4 linked regions of the Yarrowia lipolytica genome follow. The protein of the gene in region 3 purifies or fractionates together with the protein of the main gene of each other region. This does not show direct contact. Links are inferred from orthologs where the notes say so. Each region holds a gene or a part of one and is shown on either strand. Other genes may lie near its edges.

Region 1 (6,169 bases), about 1.4 Mb from region 3:
AAAAACATTTCTTTACAGACCTGTCCAGCTGACCTGTCGATACTGTACACTGTGGTGCAGTATAAGTATATTGTCGTAAAAGTATCATATAAGCACCTTCCTGATGTCGACAAACTCAACTCTCGTGTGCTACTTTACTTGAAAAGAGACGTCCCTGTTAATCGCACGCAACAGGCCCATCTGTCTCACATGGCCCACCAACTTTTTCTGGCTCTGAGTTGGGGTGCGTGAGTTAGTGCAACTGTCTGGGTCTGAGTTTGTCGCGTGAATAACTACGCGTGGTACATGAATGCAAGGGATGTAAACAACTGTGTGGAACAAGTGAGGCGTATCCCCACAGTATAATACGAAACGATTACAGCGTCAAAAATATTCACTTGTTCAACTTTTTTGTCAGCCTATGTACGTTCCTCTATGATTGAACCTACAAAAGTCCCTCAGACCAGGTTACACGAAACATACAGTGTGGTAAGTGCTATCACTTTCATAGACTTAGTTCCATATATGTCGCTCCTACATTTCACCAGCAGACCAAGATTGTCCTGTAAACTCATCCAGCCCAATACCAGTACGCTCTAAATAAACTGCGTGAGTATACTAGCAGTGTATATCCGAGAGTCTATCGTAGTTCCACGCACCCCAGTCAACCTTGGAGCACTGCCCGCAGCCGTTTCGAGACGTGTAGCCGAAGTCACCAGGCGGTTTAAACATCACCCAAGAGATTGTCACTGTTTCATGGACCAGAGGAGAATGTAGACGGGATGTTTTCTCGGACTTTCATGAGGAATGAATGATATGTTGATGTTGACGGGTGTCATGAATAGCTGTCTATAACGTCATGTCCGTAGGTATTCATTTTGTCCATAGTATCTGCCGTTACTCGTACAAGTCCTTCGGTATCACGAGCAGCATCGTAGTTGCTACAAGGGCGAGTGCTGTTACCCTTACTCATTCTCCCTTAACCCTTCCACGCATTACTGGTACTTGTAGGTCGTTCCAGTTAACGTACAGTTCCACAGTCTCAAACTCTAGCCACAAGTCAAAGCCTTTGAATTAACCGCCGAACAAGGTGATTATGGGTCTGATATCTATTTTTTTTATCTTCATTTGGTAACTTGTGCTTTATCCCGCCAAACTGCTTTCAATTCAGTCATTCTTTGTGTATGTTTTGAACCCTCTTCTACAAGTATGAGCACACCTGAGTAGTCGATGAAGCTTACTGTAAGACTTCAATACGGTGTCGGGCAAGTACGAGTACGAGTACCGTACTTTTAGGCATTCGTATGGAAACAGGCTATCGCTTTGCTACGGTACGAGTATCGTACCAGTATATACAAGTACTGGTACGATACTGTACGATAATTACCGATTTTACTTGAGACTTATTAGTAGTACCCAGCAGCAGTACGTAGAACTACCGGTACTTGTACTAATCACTACCTATTCCCACCATTCCATTATGTCCATTATCTATATGCCTATTCCTCTATTCTACCGAATCAGACCCTGTCGAGAAGGATGGACACCGGGAGTGCTGGTCTTGGGCTTCTTGGTCTGGGGAGCAAACTCCTTGTGGGCCTTCTTGTGGGCCGAAGCCAGATTCTGTTTCTTCTCGTCCTTTCGAGCCTTGGCCTGGGCTTCAGCCTTGGCCTTCTCCTCGTTAGCAATTCGCTCCGACCGCTCGTCGTCCAGCTTCTGTCGCTTCTCTTGGATCTTGTTTCGTCGGTTGGATGAGTTGCCTCCTCCTCCTGCAGTCAACTCCACGTTGATCTTTCGTCTCATAAGAGTAGAGTGATGCATTCGGAGAGCAACGTTCATCCGTCTGGAGGCGTCGTCGCCCTCAAACTCGAGGAATGCAAACCCCTTGGCATCTCGAATTCGAATCTTGTTAGGAGTGCAGGTCTTAAAATGATCAGCAATCACCTCCTCCTTGATATCATAAGGCAAGTTACCACAGAAAAGAATAAATCGAGCCGCCTTGGCAGCAGGGCCGTTCTCGCCATCCCGCTTTCGCTTCTTGGAACCCTTCTTCTCCTCCTCCTCGGCCTTCTTGGCCTCCTTTTTCTCCTTCTTCTCCTCCTTAAGAGCCTCCACCGTTAACTCTCCCTTCTCGATCTTCTTTTTGGTCTTCTTGAACTCCAAAGCCTTTCGCTCCTTCTTGGATAATTTCGATATGTCAATTTCAGACTCAGTCTTGTCAGCCGCTTTACCTTCAGTCTTGTTCTCTTCAGTCTTGCTCTCATCGGCCTTCTTGTCCTTCTTATCCTTCTTCTCAGACTTGGTCTCGTCAGTTTTTGTCTTGATATCGACCGTTTCTTCGGCCTTCACCTCGTCAGTCACCTCGTCAGTCACCTCGTCAACCACCTTGGCCTGCTTCTTGCTGCTCTTGTCTTTGGATCCCATTGTAAAAGTCGTTGTAGGATGTGTACAGCTGGTAATGGAATAATTTCAGCCTGATAATGCACACCACATAATTTTTCCCAATAAGCTTTGGGTGCATGAGATGAGATGGAGTACAAGAAGTAGAGGGAGAAACATGTTCTCAGTAAACGGGCGAAAACTATGTCTGTGGGTGTTCAAAAAATTATCATGTGGTTTTTATATCCTTCTGTTTGAAGTGTTTTGTTATTACAGTACCCCGCAAATGTCCTTATCAAGAGATGCGCGCGATTTGTTGTGTGCCCGAACCTGTTACACTTCCTGTGCCCTCTACTGTAAATTACGTAATTACAATTACGTAATGTACTTGTGCAATGTACTCAATGTGGCTAAGTAGCTTCCTGGGTTGAAAGTACTGTAGCCTACAGTAAACTAGTCACTCACTCTACTGCATGACTTTTTGCCACAGAAGCTATATCACGCCACCACTCCGCTTGTTTAGCCCAATATATCCCTTCTTTTTCTATATCTTGCTTTTTAATCACAAAATTGGCCATCTCCATCTGTCTCACAGTGTGTGGCTCTTAGTACAACAAGTACAGTAACACAGTGTACTCTCGTTAACCAACCCACTTTCAACGTTCCATTCCAGACGCTATTCTGTGCATAAGTAATAGACATTGTGTTTGGTCGTTCACCATGGAGCCCCTTGTATCGTAGTATAAGAGTCTTTCTATATGTTCCATTGTGCAGGCGAATGTTGTATCTTACGTCACCACCACAGTGTATCTGTAACTACAGTATTGTACAATTGTACATACTCCTATCTTACCAAATTGCACAGTACACTGTACCCAGATCATCATTCTTTATTATATAATCAACATCTCTCCACTCATAACCTCACCCAGTCATCAGCTCGCACATACTCAGGACGATCCTTGCCTCGGAGCAGTGCTTGTAACTACAGTATGTACTCGTAGTGAAAAAGGTTGCCCCTGAAGATGGACAAGAGGATGCACAAGCGCACAAAGAAAAGTAGGGGTGGCACGTGTGAGTGGATGTGACTAAGCAGTTGTGAGGTGGTTACAGTCAAGCCTGGTTCGATGTGAAAGCTCACGTGCATCGTACCATTGCCTTGTCTACAACCTCTTCTCTACTGTAGCTACAAGTACTCGTTAAGCATGCCCACCAGCCGTGTACCCACTTTGAAGCCGTCAGTGGAGCTTAAAGATGAAAAGAAGTAACTGGTCCACATGAGCATATTTATCGTCGTGAATAACAATAGGTTGTAGTGATGGACGAGGTGGAGATGTGGGTTGGTATTGTGCAGCGATCACTCAATACTACTGGTACGGTTCTAGTCTTCATCTTCTATGGTCCTGCTCCTCGTACCTGTCCTTACATCGCTATCATCTCATTATCTCAGCGTCACCATGACGTATGTAGTATGCACACGGTTTTTGGGACGAAAAATTCTGTGACGTTGAACATGTAAGGCGCCAGATATACACGTAATACTGTACCAGATTGAGGAGCAAGAGAGAGCGGTAATTATTCTCACGGAAATGACTTACGTCGTCCACGTAGTATGTATGCTCTTCCAAGACATGTCCCAGGTTCACCAAGTCCATTAGCTACAAATACAGCGATGCTGGTCCAACTGAAATAAAGTACGCACGTCCACCACACGCATGTCTACCAAGCTACTGTACATTAACTCTCATCACCAAAAAGACAACATCAACACATACACTTCACCACGACAAACACAAAAACACACACACAATGAGCCAGAACTGGAGGCGCAAATCGTCCGTGTCGGCGTGGGACAAGCCCGAGGGCGGGTGGTCGCGACGGCAACGAGGAGGGATCATCGCCACGGTGGGAGGCTTCATCGAGGGTTTGGCTACGGCCCTGATACGGCGCAAAATCTTTGTCGTCATTTTTTTGCTGCTGACCCTGCTGTCCTTCTTCACAGCCGTGCCATTTGTGCCGCACTTCAACTGGGGCTCGGGCAAGTACGTGATTATCCTGGCTGCCAACGAGGGTGGAGGAGTCATGCACTGGAAGGGAGCCAAAGAGTGGGCCATCGAGCGAAGCAGCATTGAAAACAAGCGAGAATACGCCGAGCGCCACGGCTACCATCTTGCCGTCAAGGACGTGAGTCTCAAGAAGAGATACTCTCACGAGTGGAGAGAGTCGTGGCAGAAGGTCGACATCATCAAGGAGACCATGCGCCAGTTCCCCAACGCCGAGTGGTTCTGGTGGCTCGATCTGCATACGCTCATCATGGAGCCCCAGATCTCGCTGGATCAGCACATTTTCAACAACCTCTACAATGAGACCTACCGAGACCTAACTGGCCAATTCAACCCTTTGAACTTACCCGTGCAGATCCCCTACGTGGACTACAACCAGCCCGTCGACCTGATTGTCACCCAGGACTGCGGAGGCTTCAATCTGGGTTCCTTCTTCATTCGACGGTCCGACTGGACCGACAAGCTGCTCGATCTGTGGTGGGACCCTGTCTTCTATGAACAGAGGCACATGGAGTGGGAGCACAAGGAGCAGGACGCGCTGGAGTACCTGTTCACGAACCAGCCCTGGATCCGAGGACGGGTCGGCTTTCTGCCCCTCAGAAAAATCAACGGTCTGCCTCCCGGAGCTTGTTCCGAGATGGAGAATGACAAGCAGCTGTTCTACGACGAGAAGTCACGAGACTTCCTTGTCAACATGGCCGGCTGTGAATGGGGACGAGACTGCTGGAAGGAGATGGAGTCGTACAAGGCGAAGGCTGTCGAGCTGCATCGAAAGAAGTGGTGGTTGTTTTAGGCGATAAGCGAGCCTTTTTCAGCGAAGCGAGAAAGCGTACGAGAGGAACGAGCCACAGCAGAGCTATTAGATACATATTTGTATATATGGAGATAGTATTATAGAATCAAATATGATGTACAAGAGATGAATGTTGAGTGTGTAGAGCGAATATGTGGCTCACGTGTCTTCTAAATATCTGAGACATACAGAAACTACCCAGCCGTATCCAGTAGAATGGCTCGCTTTGTCCTGACCCTGTTTTGGTTGTAATACCGAACAGTGTACTCATGGTGAATAATGAAAATGCATGTATTTAGCTACCATTCCATCTATAAGCAGCCATGAGTGTGAAGTCTCTTAGCAAAGTCGACTACTGACCGCTCATTTTATGTACTTTAAAGCTCTTTTGAAGTTCCTTTCAAGGTCTGCTGGAACTCTTCATCTTCAACTCACCAAGTTGTTCTCCTCCTGATCCTTCTGGGTCGCCTGGACAGCGAGGATCTTCTTCTTGAGGTACTCGTTACGCTCCTCTCGAAGAGCCAGGTAGGTGAAGAAGCTGAAGAGCAGATCTAGAAAGACGATAGAGAAGACCATCGAGTTGGACACGTATATACTGTTTCCGTAGGCACAGTAGGCGATGATGGCGAACAGAGTGATGACTCGCAGAGGCATGATGGAGTAAAAGTACTCAAGGTAGGGCCCATTGAGAGGAGCCACATCAGAGACACCCACCATAGTCAGCAGGTATGCCACGAGTCCGAGAAGAGGCTCGGCGTTCTCGAGTTTCAGAGGGGGCTGTGTTAGTTATGGTGACAGCGCGGTGTAATTCTTGTTGGAAGAGATCAAGGAGGATTCAGGAGGTCCTCACTAGGTCTGGAACGAAATAAAACTGCTTTAAATTCGTATTCAGATTGATCTCCCGGTTAAAGTCACTTGACTGCAGATAAGATCACGGTATCATTGTGATGTCTAG
Region 2 (7,330 bases), on a different chromosome or scaffold from region 3:
TCTTCTCATTGTTTGAGGCTCGGAAAATGTAGTATCCGGTAGCAAAAAGAGTCACAATGATACCAGCATACCATAGAGGGTACTCAATCGTTCGGGTAGACAGGTATCGGGCCTGAACGGTGTACACAAAGGGGACCCAAGCAAGATCTCCAAAGGCCAGCATGAACCCGAATCCATCAGTGGTGATATCCATCATGTGGATGGCTCCATACTCCTCCCAGTTTCCCTCTACTACATAATAGATCTCCATCAGAACAACAAGTGCCATGGGGAGAGACACAAAGCCCTTGGTGATGTACTCATGGTGAGCCATTGCAAGATTGAGCACAGCCCACAGAAGCAGACCAGGCCGCATCTCGCAAAAGTACTTGATGTCAAAGGAGCCGATTCGGGGGTTAAGCTCTCGGCCAATGAACCAGTCGAAAATGGGGTTTCCAGAATTACCTCCAACAGACAGAATGCAGTCGTGAGTAAAAGAGGCCACGTAGACGTAAGTGGCAACAATAAAGGACCACACAATGGCAGACGTGGCAATCTGGACGTAGTGGTCGTAGCAGAACACAAGTTCGGGCATAGCTCCTCCAGTCTGCACCCATCGAGCAGCCAGAATGACTGCCAATGTGGTCATTACGGTCTTTCCATTCAAATTGTACTTGAGTCGGGTCTTTCCATCTCGCAGAACCACCCCTTCAGCCACGGGGCCAGGCAGGATCAGATCACATGCTGCCAGGGAGAAGAACCAGGTCAGATAGACGCCGAAGACATTGATATCAAACAGAGGCATGGCTCTTAGTTTGGTCATCTCCGCTGACCAGTCAATATTCAGCACACCAGCCACTGTGCAAGACTCTGGAGTGCATCCGATCTGTAGAAACAAGATGAAAAGCGGCAGCGTAAGGGTGATAAAGGTGGCTCCAGGGATTCCAAAGAAGTCGAGGTCCGTGGTCTTGGGGTTTAGTCGCTGGGTTTTGCCGTCAATGACCGTCGTTTTGCTCTTGGCTGTCATTTTTCAAGTGGTGTCTATGCTGTGTGCGAAGACATGATGGACCATCTCGTGTTTATAAAGTCAGTTAGAGTTGCATGTGCATACGACGGAAACGACATGACCGATATGAAGTTAGCGAGGGGGCTGTACAAGTACATCAAGAGCGCGGCAAACAATCCGCACCGTCTCGGATCATTCAGGGTGAAATCGCCAACAGCTTTAATACAATACTAAAACAAGGGGACTAATTGAGTTGCAGGGTATCAACGACTTGCATTACTCACTCGATCACGTTGGCGGGAGGGGGGACTAATGATGACGTAATCCGGTTTCCATGAGTACAGGTACAATACCACAAGTAGGAGTCTAGTTGTTTTTAATATGTTTTGTTTTTTGATCGATAAAGAGTAATTATTAACATAACTGGCTTAATTTGTTTGGTTTTAGTGCTCTAATTATTATTCGGAACCTTTCCTTGAATTTCCATAATTTTCCTCCATTTTAAACAATTTCACTCCAACATCACCAACCTAAAGTGCAACACCACCCCAATCCAACTCATCAAGACAACAGCAGCTAGCCATCACATCTTCATACAATGCAGCAAATATCGCTTTACGCCAAAATCAGCAACTCACAACTCAAGATATGCCTCCATGCGCTCGCTTCGCTGACAGGAATGGACCCCATAACTATCCTACAACACACCATGGTGTGGGCTCCAGCACAGAAATACACCCCTAAAATCCTGCCAGGACAAGGAGGGCAACTGGATCAGTACAGAATCCACGTCACCAACGATAACAAGAACGAAGATAAAGAGAAGATCATCAGTTACGTGCAGAGCAAGGATTCCAAGGAGGATATCCATAATCTGGCAAATCGACAATGGCACTTTCAGATCATGGAGATGCCCGAGGCAGGAAAACAAAAGACCACATCACAGAGCATTTCATCATGGAGCGTTAAGAAGGGTGACTCTTTTCAATTTTTACAGTCGCTCGCCTACAAGTTCCAATATGAGTATTGGCAGAAGGGCTTTCAGTTTGTGTACGGCAATGCAGTGATTCAGCTGACTCGTATTCATATTCTGGACCAGACCACAAAGAACATCAAGCTGCTGGACCCTTCGAAACAGTGGCTGGTCAAGGTGTACATTGATGTAGGGCATTTGACGGACATTGAGGCTCTCAACAAGGCCGTCAAGGAGCTGGAGAAGGTCAAGACAGAATTGCATGGACTCATGAATCTCGAGATTCCCGATAGAAACGCTTTCGACACTCGAATTCGATAATCAGATGCACTTACACAAGTACAAGTACTTTTACGAGTACTGTAATCTGTACTCTGTGCCTTGCATTTCCTCACCAACATAGACTTACAACACTTAATAAATTAGACTATAACCATTTATTATTTATATTCAAAAATAGCAACATGAACACCTACATACACCTGTGCTAGTATTGTACCGGTACAGTACAACTACTGTACAAGTACAACCCCACACACTATCATATTCTATCAATCAATTAGTTATGGTTTTATTTTATTTCCAAGCCGTGGCCCAGTGCCAATTTATCTCTTCTCCTTCTTCTCGTTGAGCTTTCGTCGCTTCTTGAGCTCGGCCTCTCGGTCGCTCTTCTTGTCGTTGGAGTACTGCATCTTCTTGTACAGCTTCTTCTGCTTGTTGGACATCATGATCATTCTGAGCTTCTTGTCCTCCTCTTCCTGTTTTTCAGCCTTGGTCATCTTATCAGCCTTTCGCTTAGCCTTCTTGGGAGCAGCAGCGGGGTCAGCCTTGGTGCCCTTAGCCTCAGCCTCAAGCTCTCGCTGGTGCTGCTTAGCCTCGGCCTCGGCCTCTTCCTCCTCATCGTCCTTGTCGTAGTCTTCAGGAGCAACCTCAATGTCCTCATCATCCTCATCATCATCAGAAGCATCAGAAACATCAGCGGTAGGATCGTAAGTACCAGCATCTCCCCAGGGGGAAAGATGGGCAGGGAGACGCTCTCCAGGGGCGTACTCAGAAACGGGAAGAAGCTTTCCTTCATTAATGGAGTCGAAGACCCACTGGGGCTGAACGTACGTTCGACCAGGGACTTTCTCTCGAAGAGTGGGTCGATCTGTGATCTGGTGAGTGACGCTGGCGAGATTGAACTTCTGCTTAAGAGTCTTCTCATCAATGACGTTACCTCGGGTCTCGTCCTCATTGTCGATGAGTTCGTCCATGGCAGACTCAGAAATGACCTTTCCTCCAAATGCGATGATCAGGAACTCAATGATATCAAGGGGAACCTCTCGACCAATGAAGATAGTGAAGTTAGAGAAGAGCTGACCGGCGGTAGAGTTGAATGTGGGCTGGGCAAGGGCGTCACCCTTCTCGGCGGAGAAGGAGTCCAGTCCGTCGTCCTCGACTTCCTCCTCTTCCTCAACCTCCTCCTCCTCGCCGGCATCAGCCTTAGCAGCCTTGGACAGAACGGCAGCAGACACGTTCTCGACCTTTGCCTCGGAGTTACCCTCAATCTGGGGGACAACACCGGCGTTCTGTCGAGACTCCAGCACGTACGCATTGATACCTCCAACACCACTGAGCTTGGTGGAGTTGATGATGGGAGGGAAAACAAGACCGTTCTCATTGTAAAGCTTGTAGAGAACGAAATGCAGTAGGGTGGTGTAGAACTCGAGGAATGTCAGCATGACTCGGAAGTCAATATCGGCAGGAATGTTCTGGGGGAATCGGAAGGGCACGAGCCACATGACCTCGACTCCTCGAATGTTGGCAGAGTAGTAGACTCCCTTGATGGAAACAAACACTTTTCGCACAAGTCGTTCTCGGGCAACAAAGGCCATCCACTGGGTGCAAATGGCCTCGGCTTCGGAAACAAGTCGAGCAGAAACGTCGTCGGAAGCAGGCAAAGCGGCGAAAAGGAACAGCATGGACAGAGCATCGTCAATATCTCTCAGAGCGTCCATGAAAGTGGGGTATCGCTCCTTGATGATATGGTCCAAATGGTATCGAGGTCGGTTCTCGTCGATTCGCTTGGCATCATGAAGATCGCCTCGACCAAGAGCTCGGGTCAGCTTCTTGGCAAAGGTCTTGTGCTCTCGGAACTTGTCGAGAACGGGCTCATGCAAAAGGTACTGAATGTCCTTGGCGTAGTAGAAGGTGACGGGAGCTGTGGATCCCTTGTTGGCCTTCTTCTTGCTTCGGGGCTCTCGAGGGTAGATACCCTTGAAGATACAGAGCCGTCGGAAGTCGGCAAGCGAGACCTGTAGCTTTCGGATAGCCTGAGTTCGAGTGATGAAGTTTCGAGCGGCTCCAGCGGTATGCTTTTTCTTGATCTGGCCCATTGTTGTGTGTGTGAAGAGTAACAGACTTCTGAATATTTTTTTGGGATAGGATTTTTACAATGCATAAACTCTATAAATTTCTGCTGGGACATTTTTTTCGCCCAATGCATGGATTGCTTAGTAATCAGGGAGTTGAATGGTGCCAGGTGAATATAATATATTTGGTAATTTCGGATGCAAGAATGAATATTACCATGTCTCACCATGCCATACTCCTCATTATATAAGGCCACATACTTATACAGTAAGAAGTGTACATCACTTATCTGTGGATTAGGTTTTGCTGCCCTCATCGCCACTAATAAGGCAGTATCTTTTCTCAAGTAGACTTGATAGGCATCGTCTGCAGCAACATCCACCTCCACACCTCTTCTATCGCAACCATACCCATGAACTTCTTCAGAGGCAACATCGTTCTGGGGAGACTGGCTCCTGGTTTCTGGAAGAGTACTCAGACTCTGGGCTCCACCTCCAACCCCATTGTCAAGAATGTGGTCGGTCCTACCCCTGGCCAGATCAACACCATGTTCCGGCAGATGCAACGACTTGGCAAGCGGGGTGGCATTGCTGACATGCTGAAGGAGACCCGAGGCAAGTTCAATGCCCTGAGGAACGATACAAAGACGTTTGCATACAACACAAAGGGCCTCTTCACGGCTCGACCCTTCACCAACTTCGCTTACGGCGATGGTGCCCGATGGATTTACCCCGGAGGTGATCCCACCAAATACATTCTGGCCAAAGCTCTGGCCTTCTCTATCGGTACCATTGTTGTCTCTTACTTTGCCTTTCCTCTGTTGTTCAAGTATACACCCATTGGCGTGTTTGCGCAGCGGCCTGACTGGATGATCTCTGCCATCATCGGTGTCAATGCTGCCTTCTTCTTGCTGTGGAAGTCCGGTAACCCCTGGATCATCCGATTCATGTTCGAGAACATGCTTCTCAAGACCGGGCCCGGTTTCCGACCTGCTCAGCTTATTGGATCAGCCTTCTCCCACCAGGAGTTCTGGCATTTCTTCGTTAACATGTTTGTGCTCTATCAGTTTGGTATCCCTGTTGCTATGACCATGGGATCTGCCTGGTTCTGCCACATGTACATGACCTCTGTTGTTGTCTCTTCTTTCACCTCCCTGCTCGTGCCTTCTCTGCTCGGCCGAGCAATTATGTCTCTGGGTGCCTCGGGAGCCATCTTCTCCGTTGTTGGTGTTTTCTGTTCCGTCTTTCCTGACGCCACTATTGGTTTCTTCTTCGTTCCTCTGCCTTTTGGCGCATGGTGGTTCTTCCTCGGTTCCATCGCCATGAACGTTGGAGGTATTGTTGGAAGATGGGGTCGGTACGATTATGCTGGACACTTGGGTGGATCCCTGTCTGGTCTGTACTTTGGCTGGAGAGTTAACCAGTTCCGATCCGAGATGCGAGAACGAATGAAGCGACGAGGATACCCCGGTTTCAACTTTTAAACATTATGTAAATTATAGATCCATGATATAGATAAGCAGGTCTCTGTTCCTTCCACTATCGTAGTACATACTGTACCTACAGTACATACTGGAATGTATGTACAATGTAGTCTTAGATGAGAAAAGCGCGTGCGTGTGTGTGTGTGTGTGTGTGTGTGCGTGTTTTGTATGCATTAATCTACTTGTATATCCATTGTATGTACCGGTACTGTTAATTTCATTGGGTGGGCTCCTCCTGCTTAATATCACGGCTGACAACGAAGAATCGGCCGTCCTTCTTCTCGGCACAACTCAGAGCATCCCATAGAACCTCGGGACCAGGCTCTCCAGAGTCCTCAGCTGTGAGCTGCTCGTATGTAAAGTCCTTGATGGGAGTAAGGCAGGTCAATGGAGCCACTCCGCTGACATCAATGTCGTGAATATGAGAGACCAGGTTTACCTGAGTTCGGAGAGTCTTGATGAGAGAAAACATGGTCTCATCGGAATCAGGCATTGGCAGTGCAGCACTCTTGAAGATGGGTGCCAGCTTTTTTGAGACCTTCTGGAGGGTCTCTGAGGTGATTTCGTCAGAAGAGTGGTCTGAATGCGACAGAAGTTCATCTGTGGACCATTGGTTTTCCGGGCTGTTCATAACCTTGAGGATGTGCTTTTGGTCCTTCATTTTGATGAATCCATCGGATGAGAAGTGGATTCCCCGCGAAGAGGCCATCTTGACAGCATTGTGTGACACTCGGGCGATTCTAAGCATTTTCGTGTTTGTGGTGGTGGGATTGCTCTTTTTTGGCTTCAGATCATGCAGCCCACAGGTTAGAGATGGCTTAGTAAGCGCTAAAGATGGAGACGTGGAAGGATATCGGAGTGAGTGGCCCCCGCCCCCCTACTATAAAGTGCAGGAGAGGCGTGTGATTGAGAGCACGACGATTGCGTTGAGCCCCTACATCGAGCTGTTGGCCATCTCGACATGCAAATGCTGTTGTAAGACACGACAAGTACTGGTACAGGTACGAGTACAGTATGTACATACTACACAGTACAGCAAGTATCCTAATTACATCAATCGCCTGTCATTACAAGCCCACAACGTGTCGCCGGTACATTCCAGTACAAGTACATACAAGCATTTATTTTTATTTTATAATAACATAATACATTAGATGTGTGCTTGCTGTCTACTCCCGTCAGCTGTCAGCTGTCATCCGCCACCAGCGCACTTACTTTCCTGAATCTGACTACGAGTCGTAGCTACCAATACAGCCACTTCTGCCTGTGGCCGATTTTAAAGCTTTTCTCACATCTCCAGCTCGCTGTGTTCTACTACGGAATGCCTTTCGACGACAACTGGGTGGGACTGTCGTGCCTGTGATTTCATCACGGACTGCGATCATCAAGACGGTTTATGCGACGTACAGATTGATGCAGTGGGTTTCGCTTCCCACTCATTGGGTATCAAGGGCGGAGTGCGGCATCTATGTCCTAGTACTTACATTTACAACCCTCCTGGGGAGCCACTGGGACCATAGATTCTTCACATATT
Region 3 (6,900 bases):
AGCCCAACCCCGTGTTTACTCGAGACGGTGATGATCTCAAAATGTCCATCAAGCTGTCTCTCAAGGAGGCTCTGTGTGGATTCACCAAGATCATTGAGACCCTGGAGGGCAAGAAGCTCAAGATTGAGCAGCGTCTGCCCATCAACCCCGGCCACATTATCACCTACCCCAACTATGGTATGCCCATTTCCAAGAAGCCTGGTGAGCGTGGTCAGTTGATCATCACCATCAAGGTGGACTTCCCCAGCTCGTTGACCGACGCCCAGCGAAAGGCCATTGAGGACAACTTTTAATAGACTAACTTATTGTACATAGAGTGCAAGAGCATTCACATGTAAGAATTAATAAATGATAGCATGATCATGGAGACAATTGTACGTGTGCATGAACAACTCATTACTGCAGCCTTAGTGCAACTCTAAGGATGATTTAGTTGGTGAGGTTTGGCGGGTGTAAAGAGGACATGGAGGTGTTTATAGGGATCAGGGGGAGGTTTGGAGGGTAGGAAAACATGTAGAATGTCTTTTAACGTCCAATTGAGCTGATGGGACTTCTGAGCGCCTTCATTTGGGGCTTCTGACGGCTCTGCTGAAGAAGTTGGTATTGTGCTGTCGACGACATTTTGAAGGCTTTTTAGCATAATTAGCAAACTAAATGTGCAATCGACGTGGGCAGATAAGCGGTGACGTTTGGAGGGCATTTTTCATGTACATGTACAATCACGTCGACGGCCCGTCAAGTGTTCAGAGGGATTATCGTCTTGTACGAGGCATGTGGGTTCTGGATGTGGGTTCTGGAACATTCTAGAATCTGTCGAGTTGAACGAATCTGTCGAGTTCAGCGAATCTGTCGAGTTCAGCGAATCTGTCGAATTCAACAGAAGAGCATTGTGACACAACTTCTTGCAAGCTGATGTGTGATTTGACGACGAGTGGCTGTTTGCATTGGTGTACTAGGGATGTTTGTACATTGTGCTTTACGGTACGAGTACGAGTAGTGTAGTTATGAGAACTTTTTTCATCGACTTTACATCTCCTACAGAACTGAGGTCAAGAAGATGGGTTGGTTAGAGTGGGAAATAGAGGTTCATCTTCAGGTGGTGGTCGTGGACGCATCTTCAGGTCGTAGAGACATCTTAACATCACGAAGATACAGTAGTTATTGCTGGTACGCACCTGTACCGATACTAGAAGCCTGTGCTCTGAGCTCGTCCAAGTGGGCTGTGAACATGCCTCCGGAGAGGGAGCTTGGGTGACAATTACTGTTACAGCCGAGCCAGTTGACCAAGTAGCCTCCGTACTTACCAACGTTGTCTCATTTGATCAGGGAGGCGACGCAGGTGTTGCGAATCCATCGGGTGTGCTCCTCGAGCGACAACGCTGGTCGGAAGCCATGTCGCCACAGCGCTTGAAGTTTTTCACATGGCTGAAGTTCTTCAGGCTGACGGTCAAGGGAAATGCCACGCTCATCCAGAGCTTGGAGCCACTCGGGGTCGATATCCGGGTAGCCCGATAGATGGTCAATCTGAGTACGTAAGTTGGATGGAACGAAGAAGCCTTTGACCAGCTTCTTGGCCCAGGTTGGTTGGCCATAACTTCTCTGTTGTTTACACTGCCATGCTCTCCGTGAAACCGCCTTCTGTTAACAGTTGGGTATTCAATCAGACGGTATTCAAGGGGTGTCACATCATCAACTGTACGCATACTCGCAGTCAACTTTCTCAACATGATTTTTTCGTCCACATACCACCTCTTGTCTCTGTAGGCCTCATACCGCGTGATGAGCCTAGCTTCAATACAGAACCAGAATCCATACAAATCTTAGCCATCTTCTACTGCCACTCTTCTTTAGTATTCACACTGACAATCTACCCTTCCACTCTTCAGTCCAAGCCACTTTGCACCTTTTTGTCGGAACCAAATAATAACATAATTTACATGCAGACACTAATCCTTGCTCTTCTTCTTCTTCTTCTTCTTCTCGCCCTCGTCGTCGGAGTCCTCGGCCTTTCGCTTCTTCTCCTTCTTCTCCTTCTTTTCCTTCTTTTCCTTCTTGTCCTTCTTGTCCTTCTTTTCCTTCTTCTTCTCCTTCTTGTCCTCCTCCTCATCGTCAGAGTCGGCGGCCATGGAGACATCAGCCTCGACCTCCTTCTTGGGGGCCTCGACAGCAATGGTCTCGGTCACAGAAGCGACAACGGGCTTGGTGACGGGCTCGTCCTCAGTGTGGTCCACGTAGCTCTTCTTCCAATCGGCAGGAGTGCTCTCGTTGGGTCGACCGTACTTGTCGAGCTTACCGTCGGCCTTGAGCTTCTTCTTCTCGGTAGCAACGGGTCCCAATCCCCATCGTCGGGGGTAGGTGTCTCGCTCCATGATGCATCGCTTGATTCGAGACACGACACCGTGGTCGCAGGAAGCAAGGTCGACGGTGGTCATCTGGGCAATACCAAGAGCAATGGCCTCACCCTTGGTGGTGATGAGCACAATCTCGTCCTCCAGCTCAATGCCCTCCTCGTATCGGAGAACACCGGGAAGCATGAGCTTGGCGCCGTAACAGATGGAGTTGACGGCGGAGTCCTTGACTACAATTCGCTTGTAGCCGAGCAGCAGAGACTCAAGGGGTCGGATGCATCGTCGCAGGTACGACTCGTCCTTGGTGTTGTCGTAGAGCCACTGGGCATCGAGAATGTCGTGCAAGGTGACCATTCCGTCGGACTCGTCGAGAGCACCGGATCGCACTCGTCGCAGCTCCTGCATGTGGCCTCCAACACCGAGCAGCATACCCAGATGCACACACAGGGTTCGCATGTAGGTACCGGCCTCACAGGAGGCCCAGAAGACACCGAGGTGTCGGTCGTTGTCAAACTCAAGCAGCTTGGAGTCGTAGATGGTTCGGACTCGCAGCTGTCGCTTGACGGCGGAAATGAGAGGAGGTCGCTGGAACAGGGCTCCAGTGAGGTTCTCGAGGCCACGGGCCATCTCCTTCTCGTCCTCAAGAGCATCGTGGAGTCGCACGATACACACGTACTCCTTTCCGGCTCCCTGCTGGGACTTGACCAGACGGGTGGCTCGGTCGATGCACACAATCAGACATCCAGTAACCTTGGGATCCAGAGTACCAGAGTGACCGGTCTTCTCGCATCGCAGGATTCGCTTGATCCAGGCAACAACCTCATGGGAAGAGGGGTTGGAGGGCTTGTCGAGGTTGATGACACCGGAAGCAATGTACGACTTGAGGTCTCGCTTCAGAGGAGAACATCCGGTGGGGATGGGGGTGTAGTGACCGGACCGCACAAGCAGCTTGTCGTAGTTCTTGAGCAAAAGGGGCCACTCAGAGGTGTCGGCCGAGGGGCCAACATTCTCGGGCTTGATGAGATAGTCGGTTTGTTCCTGAACAACAGCAGACATGTCGATAGTGTTGCTAGGTCGATATGTAGGAGAAGCTCTCAATGTGAGTTTCAATTTTTTTTTCACTGCGCAGAATTTTTGTACTTTGGGTTTGGATTAGGGGAGCGGCCAGGATTGGGACGAGTCCTTCTGCATTAGGGTATGGGGTTAGGGTGGCGGTTAGGGTACCGGGGAGATATATTCTGGTCATTCACTTGACAAGGTGGTTTGTGGGTGTGTGACGTGGGTTTGGAGGTGTTTTGGCCGGTATTTTGATGCTCGATCTACGTTTATTGTACTTATATCGCCACAAATCAGTGACTGCGTTGCGTGAGCTAGATTGTAGGCATATAGGCAATTGGAGTGTCGTATGGAGTGTGACAACATAAACAGTACAAATACAGGTATATATAGGTACGTGGTCATGGCAGCATCTCCATGGCCCGGATGTTCAAACCCCGGCCACACTTTGCTGACACTCACTGAAAGGGCTCATGGCTGGGTTGCCCATCACTTCAAGACTGCTCTGAACTTAAGGTTCTAGGATGCGTCAAGATGGTGAATGGTGGGTGAAGGGGGAGTCAGTTCAGGTGCTCTTACGAGGTATTTATCGACGAAGGGTGAGTAAGGTCACGTATTATATCACCAGTTCGAGTTATATGCTCGTATCTCGATTATTAAGCGACTGAGGAGAGTGTTGTGGCATTTGGCAACTGGACAAGTTTGTGAGGATTCGTACTTACAGTAGAAGCGGTATGGGAGCTGAGAGGTGAATGGAAGGGGTCCAGAAGAGACCATTTTTGTATGACAATGGGGGGCGAAGAAGACATAGATAGGAAGTATACGTGACCAACAACAACTAGCATACGAGATTTATATCACACCTTTGTCAAAAATGGCCGGTTTAGGTGTCTACTAGTCCATCCCGGGGAACAGGCAGTGATCACCAAAGATAAACGAGACAAAAAATAGTGAAAAAGATGCCGAAAGCAGCTAAATCGAAGCTCCTATGCGAGCCCATCAATTTGATATATTGAAAGTGCCATTTTTTTCATTTTCTTCTTCGTAACAATGCTTCATGGACTGACGAAGGAGTATGTACAGTATGTAGTGTACGAGAGGACATTCAGAGTCTGACTGGACATGGAGTCCAGTGACTATAATATAGCAGACAGATCTACACGGAGGAAAAAAAAGGGGATACAACGGAGACCTGGAGATATCCCCAAGGACTAGCACTTCGCCTTTGGCCATGTTACAGGTGATTTCTCAATGGGGTCTGATACAATACAAGATCATCAAAGTGAGAGGCATACATCTCCCTAATAGAAGTGTCTCGATACAACAGGAACGGGATCGGAACTAGTAGTCACACCATACCACAACCTACAAGACTGTACGTACAGCAGCTGAATGACTAATTGCTGTACTCCACAGTTGTCTTTCTCCACGTACATGCCATCATACATACACATGATGTCTCTCTCGGAACATGTCTTCTTGTATCCGGTCCAAGTCAGGATGACAGAAGTGAAATTTCACCCAAGAAAATACAGTGCTCGTACAAGTAGGCCATTATTATATACAGTGGGCTCGCGGCAAGACAAGACATGGTATATTACTAAGCAAAAGGACTCGGTAGTGTGCGTATCCTACTCCTCGTACAGATTATTCATACGGTCGGACTCCGATCGCCTACTCCTACCCTTTCTACCTGCATTTGGTCCACCGCTCAACTGCATCTCCAGTGCCGTTCGTGCAACTAAATCTTAGAGTTTGATCCGGATACAAGTATCGGCTAACACCTCTCTTTCTCCACATCTCCTCTCTTCACACAATCATGACCGTCGACCAATACCCCGCCAAGGCCCACGCCCTCAAGGCCGCGCAACACCTCAAAGCTTCCGGAGCTTCCGACGACGCTCTGTGGTACATTGAAGCTGCCAAAACCACCCTGTGGCCCCATTCGGACCAGACCGTGCCTCTCAGACAGCACCGGTACTTTTACTATCTGACGGGCTACGAGGCCCCCGACGCCATTGTCACCTACTCCGCCAAGGACGACAAGATCACTCTTTACATTCCCGAGATTGACGACGAGGAGGTCATGTGGTCCGGCCTGCCGCTGTCTCCCGAACAGATCCGAGCCGTGTCTGACGTGGACGAAATCAAGTACATGAACCACCTGGAGAGCGACCTCAAGGGCAAGAAGCTCATCAGTGTCGAGACCTACGACAAGCGAGACGCCGTGACCATGTCTCAGCCTTTGCTGGACGCGCTGGACGAGGCTCGAGCCATTAAGGACTCACACGAGCTCGCTCTCATGCGACACGCCTCCGAGATCACCGACAACTCGCATCTAGCCGTCATGTCTGCTCTTCCCATTGAGAAGAACGAGGGCCATATCCATGCCGAGTTTATCTACCACTCCATCCGACAGGGCTCCAAGAACCAGTCCTACGATCCCATCTGTTGTGCTGGTACTTCTGCTGGCACCCTGCACTACGTCAAGAACGACCTGCCCCTCGACGACAAGCTGCTGGTGCTGATTGACGCTGGTGCCGAGTGGAAGAACTACGCCTCTGACGTGACTCGTTGCTTCCCCATCTCCGGAGAGTGGACCAAGGAGTGCCGAGACATCTACGAGGCTGTGCTGGACATCCAGAATCACTGCATTGAGAAGATCAAACCCGGCGTAAACTACGAGGATCTGCACCGAGACGCCCACAGAATTCTCATTCGACATCTGATGCGACTCGGTATCTTCACCAACGGAACGGAGGACGAGATCTTTGACTCCCGAGTCTCCTGCGGCTTCTTCCCCCACGGACTCGGCCACATGCTTGGTATGGACACCCACGACACCGCCGGCCGACCCAACTACGAGGACAAGGACCCCATGTACCGATACCTGCGTCTTCGACGAACCCTGGAGGAGAACATGGTGCTGACCGTCGAGCCCGGCTGCTACTTCAACAAGTACCTACTAGACCACTTCATCCAGCCCGAGCAGGAGAAGTTTCTGGACCGAGCCGTGCTGGACAAGTACTGGAAGGTTGGCGGAGTGCGAATCGAGGACGACATTCTCGTCACCAAGGACGGCTACGAGAACTTCACCAAGATGACCAAGGACCCCGAGGAGGTGGCCAAGATTGTCAAGGACGGCATCGCTAAGGGCCGAAAGCATTTCCACTGTGTTGTTTAGACCTCAATGGACCACCACCCCTGTTTATACAGGTGAAAAAAGAAAAAGACTTGATTGTAGAAGAACGTAGGGGATTTAGGGCTGCTCGGGAGAAGACAGGGAGGACACCAGAAAGCTCTTTACACTAGTTGTATTGAACCAGAAGGGGACACCTGAACACTCGGTCTCATTACAGTCGAGGGATGAAGAGCTTCTCTGTGAAATGGTGTGCCGTGTGGGGGAGGGAGCACTGAAATTCAAAGACTTTCTCGATTCAATGATCAATGATTATACAGAAGCTGAAGACTCCAGTTTACCTATTATTGGGAATCA
Region 4 (10,262 bases), on a different chromosome or scaffold from region 3:
GATATCAACTGGGTCAGCAAAAACATGCCCACTAATGAGATTGAGAGACAAAAGATGATTGTGAGTTGACCAAACGAAGAGCATGGGAATGCTGACCAACGAAAGAGCAAGTATATATGTGAATAGTTACGACGTAATGATAATGAATTGGGTGAGACGAAGCTTGTGTTACAGCTTGGTACAGTATATATAATGGCTAACTGTTGCTTGTCACCAAGACAGAAGGCTATACTATATTATTGTAGCAAAGTCACGTACAGTATCACGTATTATCTTGGCAAGTGTCATTGATATCTATATAGATTAGATCTGAGAATAAACGTAAGGACCAGGCTTCTGCTCAACCTGAACATCGACCTTGGCCTCGAGCTCCTTTCCATCAACAGAGATACCGGCGGTCATTCGATCTCCAGGGTTAACAGGACCCACTCCCTTGGGGGTTCCAGTGAGAATAATATCACCGGGCTGAAGAGTCATGATGCTGCTCATGGTGGACAGAATCTGGGGCAGCTTGAAGATCATCAGGTTGGTGTTATCGGACTGTTTAGTTTGTCCGTTGATTTCAAGGTGAAGATGCACGTTGTGAGGATCGGGGATCTGGCTCTTGGGAATGAAGTTGGAGATGGGCAGGAAGGTATCGAACCCCTTGCCAATTGACCAGGGCAGACCCTTCTTCTTCGCCTCGTCCTGCACGTTTCGAGCAGTCATGTCAACAGCCAGAGCGTAGCCATCAATGGCGTCAATGGCGTCCTGCTCAGTGAAAGTCTTGGGGTTGAGGTTCTTGAGCTCCTTGCCGAGAATTGCAGCCAGCTCTACCTCGTAGTGCACAACAGTTCCCGAGGGCACGAGCATGGGACCCTCGTTGGGGAGCAGGATGGAAGACGAGGGCTTGAGGAAGAAGAAGGGCTTGGAGGGAGCCGTGTTATTGAGCTCCTTGATGTGCTCGACGTAGTTTCGGCCAATGCACAGGATTTTTCGGGCCTGCTGGGCAAATCGGGTAGCCATGCTGTTAGTGTGGTTGGTGATGAACAAGTCGGAATGACTGATCCGTCCGACCTGAAATGTTAAGTTTGGGAGTCTGGGGTGCAGAGCGGCTGATGACAGTGAACAAACCGCCGGAGTTCCGAACATCGCTTCTTGTTTGCTGGCGAGTCACGTGATTCCAAATCCACAATTGACAGGGCCTTGTATTTTTTTGTTAGATTGTGTCTTGAAGAGATGAGAATGTGGTTAGTTGCGTACATGCCACACACGATACAACTTCTCCGAGTTGGTCCATAAAGGTTTCAGTTTTCACTAATTACTGTACATCCTGTGTACTTAGTAATGAGAAATCTTTAGTATGGACATAACAGCGTTGAGTTCGGAGGTGCCATTATGATCTAGATTACTATGTAAGTGACAATAAAATCAATACAGTCTTCAGACGAATCATGAGATTACAATGATAGGCAAAAGTGTATCACTTGTAAGACAAATAATACCTGCTACACATGTTGGTTTGCTCCAGGGTGGTGCAGTACGCGATAATGAACCATATACTGTACTAAAAGCTGCTGTAATTGAGCTGCGAGAATAGAAAGAAATGCTCAAAAAATATGAAAAACAATAACAAAAAAAAACAAAAACAAAACAACAAACAGTACCGCCGCGACTAGGTACACGATATCAAAAAATTATCATCACTTGCCACATACAATACAAGTGCAAGTAGTACCAGTATGTACTCGTAATTACTGGAGGGCCACATTCACAACAAAACTCAAATACTGTATCACTGGTACATCTACGCAACAAAATTATCAATCAATATATCCAATTTCCATTATTATACAACCATTCATGCCAAGTTTAGACACGTCAGTCCGTTCTACTAAGGCCGGGGAGTCACCTGGGGAATCCGAGGGTTGTTGGCATCCTGCTGTCCGCCCTGACCTTGTCCACCTCGACCACGTCCTCCACGTCCACGTCCTCCACGTCCTCGACCCCGTCCTCCTCGTCCTCGGCCTCCTTCATTGGCAAGTCCGGTGGCAGGCTGCTGAGAGTTATCAGAAACCTGCAGGGCAGCCATCAACTGTGCAGAGAGGTCTTCATTGCCCTGAGGAGTTCCCTGAGGAGCGCCCTGCTGGTGCTGCTGGTTCTGAGGGCCAGGTCCCTGAGGATAACCCTGACCAGGGTAGAAAGGCTGGGGAGGGTAATATCCGGGAGGGAAGTGTCCTTGAGGGAGGTAGCCCTGGGGGGGAAATCCCTGGGTAGGGAATCCGGGAGGGGGAGGGGGTACAAATCCACCCTGGGGGCCTCCGTAGTGCATAGGAGGGCCCTGCTGCTGGTGCTGAGAAGGTCCCTGGGGCTGAGGGTTGGAGTACTGGTTCAGCACGTTGCCCAGGACCTGCTTCTTGGCGTCAGCAGAAGTCTTGGACTTGAGAGAGTCCAAAAGAGCCTCGCTCTGTTTCTTCAGCTCCTCCTCGGTCTTGGGAGCGGGAGCAGGAGGGACAGTAGCAGACTCTGATACAGCAGCGGTAGCAGCAGCCACAGCAGTGGGGACCTCACCTAAAGTAGAGGTCTCAGCAACAGGAGCAGCGTCTCTGGGTCGCTGAAGAATCTTGACACCAGGAGAGGGCTGCTTGGGCTTGGGCACTGCAGAAGCGGCAGGAGAACCCTGTCGGCCGTTGTTTCGGCCCCGGGCGTTGTTGGTCTTGCCGTTGGTCTGCTGGCCATTAGCCTTGCCACCTCGGTTGCCGCCCTTGGGTCGGTACATCATCTGCCGGTTGGTCAGGTTGATGACGGTGTTGGCAGCGACGTTGAGACCTCGGTTGGTGGAAGCTCGGCCCTGGAAGTTGTTGCCACCGACAAACTCGTCATCAAACAGCACATCCAGCCGAACATCCACGCCAACGGCCTTGATACCGATCACGGTACCCTGAGAAAAGATGGCAGCCTTTCCAGAGTCCTGGACATACACAACCCGGTCCCCCAGATCGAATCGCTGGCCACGAAGCTGGTGGAAGGCCTCATCAGGTCGAAGAACAGCCTGACGAGGAGTACCCTTCACAACGGAGGGGATAAACCGCACAGCATCAGGGTCAGCAGCGTTCTTGACGAGATAGTTCTCAAGAACAGAGATGGACTTGACCGATAGAGACTGAGTGTCAATATCCACAGAAGTCAGTCGGGAGGCGTTCTCCTTGAGCCATCGCCGAGCAGATTCAAGCATCTTGTTGACCTCAGCAGGTTCGCCTTTGACCAGAGCAGAAATGTCAGGCACGCCCTTGTCTCGGTTGGAACCAATACCCTCGACCAGCTTGGGGAAGGTGTTGTAGTAGCTCTTGACCAGAGCAATGGCATCCTGGGTGTACTCCCAGCCCTGCTGAGTTCGCCGGGTGTAGCCAAGCACCTTTTCTCGCTTGCCCTCATTTCGCAGGTTGAGACCTACGTCAATCTTAGAGTCTCCCTTCTGAATCAGACACTTGGAGCAGATTCGACCGAGGAGAGACGACTGGATACCGGCCATCTTGGCGGCCTGATACGAGGGGTAGTACTTGGTGGTAGCGTACTCTGTTCGAGCAATCTTTTTACCCACATCCGCAAGCACAACAGCGGGAGAGTTGGGTGCAGACTTCTTGACCTGGAGATCCATCTTGGTGTTGCCAATGTGGTTGACAACCTGGGCCTCAGCACCATAGCAGAAGTCGGACATGAGAATGACACGCGACTCGAGAGGGAACTCGGCAGCGATAGGCTGAGCAGCTCGCTCCTTGTACCGCTCATCCTCGTTGACCACCTTCTCAACAATAGTCTGAACAGGGAAAGAACCAGTGGCTCCAGTAAAGTCCTTGACAAGAGATCCATCGTCTCCCTTCTTCATACCAGCCAGGAAACGGACATGAAGAACGACAAAGATGTTACCGCTCTTGATACCCTGCTTCTTGATGTAGTCGTTCTTGATCTTTCGGGATCCGGTGGCCCACTCCTTGGCCATGGTGTCGGAATGGGGAGATTTGTTGACCTTGCCGTTCTCAAAGGTGTAAGAGAACAGCTCGTCTGAAACAGCAATCACCTTGGCCTCTCGCAGGTAAGGATAGTTGACGTAGATGGACTGGTCCATCAACTCTCGAGCAATGGATTCGGGAGATCGGTTCTTGTAGGAGTTGATGATGTTGAGCACCAGAGTGTTGTTTCGCGAATCCTGCTGGAAGATTCGAACACCAGCAGCCTCAATGTCGTAGGTGTAAGGAAGGGTCTTGAGAGAGGGGAATCCGGACAACATGTCCTTGCCCCACTTGGAGCCATCCTTCTTGCCGATGACCACGTCCAAACCGTCCATGGAAGGCAAGTCAAATTTCTCAACCACACAATGACAGTGCTCCAAGTTCTGGAAGACACCGGGCATAGAAGACGGGTAGACATAATCCTGCTGGGGCGAGTATTTGAATAACAAGTTGTTGCCAAATGCGTTTCGCTTGTTCTCTCCAGCAGTAAGACCAGTCTCCTTCGTAGCCATAGCTGTCAGAAGACGCGACTCGTCCACAAATGGGATCTTGACCACTGCCTCCCAATCGGCCTTCTTTCCGTTCTTGTCCAGCTCAAAGTCGTTAGGGTAGAAGTCATAGATGGGCGAGTTGGAGTCGGCCATCAGGGGCCAGTAAGCTTGAGGAAGGAGCTTCTTGGATCTCTCAGGCAGCACACCCATGAGCTGCTGGAAGGGCTTGAAGGGCTGGCCAGCCTTGAACTTGAGATTGGCCTGCAGACCCTTACGCACATCAGAAACTCGAGGAGCATAGTGGTAGCCATAGTACCAAGACCACGAGGGTACGCCGTCGTAGTAGTAGTGCAGAATCCACTGCAGACCCTCGACGTAGTTTTCGGTCAGAGCCTTGAGCTCGGCTTTGCCCTCGTCGGTGGTAGTCGACCAACCAAACTTCTTTTTATAGTAGTCGTCCTTCCACTCCTCAAACTTCTGATTGTAAATCTCCTCTCGCTGGGCCAGCGCCTCGGCGGTCTTGACAGGAGCAGCCTCGTACCGCTTGAGGGTCTGGGAGTAGCCAATGAAGCGCTGGGTGGCTTCTTCAGGACTCTCCTCGTCTCGGAGGCCATCGTAATCGACGATTAGCATACAAGATGTGGAAGAGTTCTTGAGAAATCGGCAATCGAGGTCCAGAGAGATCTCTTTGACGAGAGATTCACACTCTTCGGAGAGAGTATCAAATACGATCTCGGGCAAATTATCAGGATCGTAGTCCGACTTGGACTTGTTTTTAAGATGGGCATCAACAAAGGGGCGCAGTTTCTGCACAACCAGCTCCTTCTGTTGGGGTGAGAGATAGAGCTTCTCGCCACGCTTGGACTTGTATTTTTGAGTCAACTCCGGAAGATCCTTGTTGATCCAGGCCAGATCAATGGCCTGCTCCTCGAAAATACCAATTTCAAACTTTTCCATCTCAGCCAGGAAGAGATCCAGGCGCTGCAAGTTGATGTTTCCTCGGTCATTGATGTAGCCGTCGGAAATCTTCATTACCTTTTTGTACAACTCTACAAAAAGAGCATGGGAGTCCTCATTGATGTGAATCTGAGGCAAGTTGGGCAAGAAATCGTTTCCGACGAAGAAGAAGAGCAGGATGTAGTCATCCAGAATTCTCTCAAAGTCATAGGGAAACGAAATCTCGTCAGCAAGGTCCTGGAATTCCAGCTCAAGGTACTCTCGCAACAGAGAAATGTGCAGAAGATAAAAGTTCTGCTCCTCCAGAGCCTTGGGACCGGCTCGTCGGGGACCGAAGACAACCTCTTCTCGCAGAAGAGAGAAGTGGGGGTCGTGGGAACCCAGACCCAGCATGATGAGATCGGCATCCAGACCGTACACACAATGACGGGTGTTGGGGTCGTAGTCAGGCTGGGCCTTGTTGATTCGGATGCACTCGTTGATCTTGTGCTCTCCTTCTCCTGGAACCTCGTGACCAGAAAGAACAATGTCAATGTTCTGCCAGTCAGCGTCCTCACTGACCTTTTTGTGCACAAAGTAGTTGAGTTGGGTGGTCAGTTTCTCCATGAACTCGGTTCCGGGAGTAATAGCGTTGGAGTCGAATTGGTCCTCCTTCAGGATGGTGCCCTCCTCCAGAGCCTTGGCCTTGGCCTTTTCGGCGTCGAGGGCAGTTCGGAATCGTCGCGATCGCTGCTGGTTCATCTTGGCTCTCGGTGCGACTCCGTCAATGGCCATAAAGAAGAGTTTCTTGGGCCGAATTTTGGAAAATAGATGCTCAATGTACTCGAAGATGGCGCGGAACATTTGTTCTTCCGTCAGCTGGAACGTCACATCTGCGTCCTTGTGTGTGCACACGTGCAGAATCGAGTTCATATCGAGGTACAGATTGTCATATCTGGGTTAGCACGGAAATGTTGTGATGTGGCTGTGGTGGTAACAGTTTTGTGTGTTATTGTGGGTTTGATCTGGCCTGAATCATGTATCGAAACAACATAGAACATTCGACAAGGGCTTTCAAACGATCCTCCAGTCACAAGGCTCTTGTTATACGTTCCTTCAGGTCGTCTAGTGTCGTGGTTTTGGTCATCAGTATGCTGACCGATCAGACACCCCACAATCACCAAACGGTCGTGTTGCCATCTCCAAAAACACCCTCACTGCTCTCATACTCACTCAGGAATCTGTGTATCAATCACTTGTTGGGAAATCAGCGGCCATCGCTCACTGATGTAGCGGAAAAATTTAGGAATACCCATTGATGGTGTATCTGCTGTTGAAAATCAAATCTTGTGATGTGGTGGGATGTAGGGACAAGACACTTAACTTTAAGGGAAACCAAACGACGATAGAATGCGCATAGTGGCGACTATTGGTGGCGGTAGACAGAGAGAAAGGAAGCCTTTGGAAGCGCAGGTATGACTTATTCCGATAGCCGGATGAGATGAAGTGCATCAGATGAACGACTCCCGGCTTATTGGAACCATATGGAACGCCGTGGATGGCTCGATACTACCTTACCCGGCAGTGATGGATGCCTGTCACGTGTCCTACAGCACAACTGCAACATACTGTATCTATATGGTTTGTAGGCTGCTTCAGAAACGTGCCCTACCCATACGGAGGATATGAATCTTTACAGGGACTTGCCTAACCTGGAACTGAGTTATTTCGGGCGAAAAATAGCCGTACACAAGGTTGCATGAAAGGGTTCATCTCGTATGTATGTATTGTAGATACATTGTACGATGCAGTTATTGTTAGTCAGAACGTTACGAGGATTAGCTGTGGAGTTTAGCTGTGGAATTTGACAAAATGTAATGTAGACACTGCATTAACTAACTTGACTGAGAAGTCAGAGTACGTACAGTACTGTAAGTAGAAATGGCTAGGAGAAGGTGACACGCCCTGTACCACCCACAGAACGAAAGCACACATCTATTTCAGACGACATTTGCCACTATTTTGTCTTTTTTCGATCGCGTTGCCCCTTTTTTGAATTTCGATGAGGTTTCCTGGAAGATGCAGGTCTGACAGTGGAGGGAAAGAGTTTCCGTACTGTGCCGAATGTTCACTGTAGTACCTACTGTATTTCCACAAAGTATGGGACTGAGATGGTTCATAGAAAAAAGTAGAGTATCAGTGTATTTAGTTAGTTTCAGCAAACAAAATTATGGAAAAATCACGCTTATAGGGCTATTATTACGAGAGTTGGATAGATGTCATGCTTTCCGCCGTATTATCACGCGAAAGTTTATCGATCTTGGTTCGACTCACATACGGACAATCATACAGAAAATGCAGCAACCAGAGAGAACTCACGGCAATTGGGAGTGAAGCTGGTGACAGAATAGCTCCCCATTTTCCATCAAAACAGTGAATCACAATGGAATGTTCTAGAGCAACCTAAACGCCGGGTATTTCACACGTCGATTACCGCCAGAATAACGAAGAAGGATACGGGAAAAAAAATACTGTAGGATGAACACTGTACTGTAGTCTTTCCTGGTGCTCCCTCCCAACCAAGCTTCAAATTTGAAATTTCAGAGAGATTGACAAGACTGACCCTGAGTTCGACTCCACGACTTCATGAATTTCAAGATAAGGCGTTTAATCGAAATATGTAATTGATGATAGAAAGGAGGCAGTATTGATTTTTTTTAAAGCAGTACTCATCTAAGTAATCTATGGCCTCCGTTACCTGCTGCTCTGTTGTAGTGTTTACACCATCCATCCGCTTACATCCTCAGCCTTGTTGGCTTAATAAGCAAAATTATCAACAGCATGCAGCAAAACAAACCAAACTTTTAGAGACGCCATCACCACACAGATACATCATGTTCGGCAGCACTGGATTCGGACAGAAGCCCGGAGGCTTTGGCGCCGCCAATACCGGCACGACCGGTAACACTGGTGGCGGGTTTTCGTTCGGCCAGAATAACAATTCCAACTCCACTAACACCAACACTGGCGGAGGATTCGGGTTTGGCCAGAACAACACCAATCAGACCAGCAACACGGGCGGTAACACTGGAGGAGGCTTTTCGTTTGGCCAAAACAACAATGCTGGAGCCTCTAACACCGGAAACACCGGAGGAGGACTTTTTGGAGCCAAGCCTGCTGCCACCACTGGAGGAGGGCTGTTTGGTCAGAACACAAACACTGCCGGTACTACTGGTACTACAGGCACATCTGGAGGTTTCTCTTTCGGCCAGAACAACAACAACACCACTTCGAACACAAGCACAACCGGAGGCGGTCTCTTTGGAGCTAAGCCTGCTGCCCCCTCAGGTGGGGGGCTGTTTGGACAGAACACATCCAATACTGCCAACACCGGAACCACAGGCACCACCGGTGGACTTTTCGGCCAGAACAACAACGCCGCTTCTACTAACACGGGCGGCGGACTGTTTGGTGCAAAACCCGCCACCACTACTACTTCAGGAGGTGGTCTTTTCGGTGCTAAGCCTGCTACTACCGGTACCGGCTTTGGAGGAGGATTTGGACAGAACACAAACACAAACACAAATACTGGAGGACTTGGATTTGGTCAGCAACAGCAACAGCAGCAGCAACAACAGCAACAACAGCAGCAATTGACCGTCACTCCTCTGACCAGACCGTCGGATCTACCGGAACATATGCAGAAGGAGTTTGAACAGATCGACGAATACATTCAGCAGCAGGCCCGAATATGCGATGAGCTGTCCACGAACAAGCTGCAGCATCAGGAGATGATCGAGTCGATCCCCCGAGATGCTGAGCTCATCTCCAGAAAGTACATCACTGCTTACGAGGCTCTGGTGCACGACTCCGAAAACATGAACGAGATCAAGACTCGATCAGACATTGCCGCACAAGAGGCGCAGACGTGTTTCAACCTGCTCAGCTACCTGACCAGTCAGACTCCTGGCCGTCTCAACTCCAACCGACCCGCTGGAGCTCCCAGAGAGAACGGCGATCCTCTGCTCAACTACTTTAAGACAAAGTGTGAGGAGTACGAGAAGCGAATTGAGGAGCTGGCAAAGGTGACGGCCGAGGTGGAGGCTGGTGTTGTGGGACTGGAACAAAGCGGACCTCAGAACCCTTCTGTGGTCATTGACAACTTTACCATTTCGCTGGAGGAGCTATACAAGCTGTTCATGGGTCTTGGAAACCGGGTGGCCGAGTTGCATCATGTTGTCGAGCGGCTTGAGCAGCGGAAGTAACTTTGGAGGTGTAGCTACATGATATGTATATTGAAGGAATACTTGTAATTGTAGTTGATTTGGTGTAACGAGTATTTACTACAAGTATAAACGTTGTAGACAATAATAAGGCTACAAGCAGATGAAGACAAGCAAAGTATCACCCCTTAAGGCGAGAGGCTTTTGGTATGGTCAAGCGACTTTATGGAAGTATTGATTCGAGAACACCCCTGTACATACTGTAAAGCTGTAGCTGCCGCATGTAACATATTGCTCAACTGTTCTAACTAACGTTAAGTAAAGTGACAAACTCAAAGTAAGCAAGAATAGCATTATATTTCTTTATATCTGAGAACTCCGGTAACTTGTTAGATAAGTAATAACAACCAGATCACTTTCATAAATTTTTTGGCGTACGTTTCATATTTCTACCGTATCTGGGACACTATTTGCGCCCTCAGTCAACTTTTCCCTAACTAACTCCCAACTAATTCTCTTTCTGCAGCTTAGTCACGTCACTATAATAAAGTTTCGAGTGCATGGGTTTACGTACGTACAGTACGTTGACCATGATGAACATACAGCGATCACAACTACAACGA

The links.
Region 1: the proteins of YALI1_E16451g (region 3) and YALI1_E30707g purify together in Saccharomyces cerevisiae (affinity purification with mass spectrometry; 3 studies listed by BioGRID). This does not show direct contact. The link is inferred for Yarrowia lipolytica from reciprocal best matches to the Saccharomyces cerevisiae genes CBF5 and NOP6.
Region 2: the proteins of YALI1_E16451g (region 3) and YALI1_B30214g purify together in Saccharomyces cerevisiae (affinity purification with mass spectrometry; 3 studies listed by BioGRID). This does not show direct contact. The link is inferred for Yarrowia lipolytica from reciprocal best matches to the Saccharomyces cerevisiae genes CBF5 and NOP7.
Region 4: the proteins of YALI1_E16451g (region 3) and YALI1_C31971g purify together in Saccharomyces cerevisiae (affinity purification with mass spectrometry; 4 studies listed by BioGRID). This does not show direct contact. The link is inferred for Yarrowia lipolytica from reciprocal best matches to the Saccharomyces cerevisiae genes CBF5 and XRN1.

What each region holds. Positions count from the first base shown.
Region 1 is NC_090774.1:3,068,363-3,074,531, forward strand, and holds YALI1_E30707g (uncharacterized protein), read right to left. Parts: upstream 2,404-6,169; coding exon 1,492-2,403; downstream 1-1,491. Other genes in the region: YALI1_E30725g (uncharacterized protein), read left to right, coding at 4,168-5,214; YALI1_E30743g (uncharacterized protein), read right to left, coding at 5,641-5,991. UniProt on the Saccharomyces cerevisiae protein: Predicted to be involved in rRNA processing.
Region 2 is NC_090771.1:3,017,125-3,024,454, forward strand, and holds YALI1_B30214g (uncharacterized protein), read right to left. Parts: upstream 4,337-7,330; coding exon 2,564-4,336; downstream 1-2,563. Other genes in the region: YALI1_B30181g (uncharacterized protein), read right to left, coding at 1-1,006; YALI1_B30182g (uncharacterized protein), read left to right, coding at 1,043-1,078, 1,566-2,279; YALI1_B30218g (uncharacterized protein), read left to right, coding at 4,726-5,796; YALI1_B30234g (uncharacterized protein), read left to right, coding at 6,255-6,950. UniProt on the Saccharomyces cerevisiae protein: Component of the NOP7 complex, which is required for maturation of the 25S and 5.8S ribosomal RNAs and formation of the 60S ribosome.
Region 3 is NC_090774.1:1,641,631-1,648,530, reverse strand, and holds YALI1_E16451g (uncharacterized protein), read right to left. Parts: upstream 3,405-6,900; coding exon 1,947-3,404; downstream 1-1,946. Other genes in the region: YALI1_E16493g (uncharacterized protein), read left to right, coding at 1-293; YALI1_E16433g (uncharacterized protein), read left to right, coding at 5,224-6,588. UniProt on the Saccharomyces cerevisiae protein: Catalytic subunit of H/ACA small nucleolar ribonucleoprotein (H/ACA snoRNP) complex, which catalyzes pseudouridylation of rRNA. This involves the isomerization of uridine such that the ribose is subsequently attached to C5, instead of the normal N1.
Region 4 is NC_090772.1:3,190,741-3,201,002, forward strand, and holds YALI1_C31971g (uncharacterized protein), read right to left. Parts: upstream 6,733-10,262; coding exon 6,650-6,732; intron 6,372-6,649; coding exon 1,874-6,371; downstream 1-1,873. Other genes in the region: YALI1_C31900g (uncharacterized protein), read left to right, coding at 1-69; YALI1_C31918g (uncharacterized protein), read right to left, coding at 304-1,131; YALI1_C31989g (uncharacterized protein), read left to right, coding at 8,161-9,681. UniProt on the Saccharomyces cerevisiae protein: Multifunctional protein that exhibits several independent functions at different levels of the cellular processes. 5'-3' exonuclease component of the nonsense-mediated mRNA decay (NMD) which is a highly conserved mRNA degradation pathway, an RNA surveillance system whose role is to identify and rid cells of mRNA with premature termination codons and thus prevents accumulation of potentially harmful truncated proteins.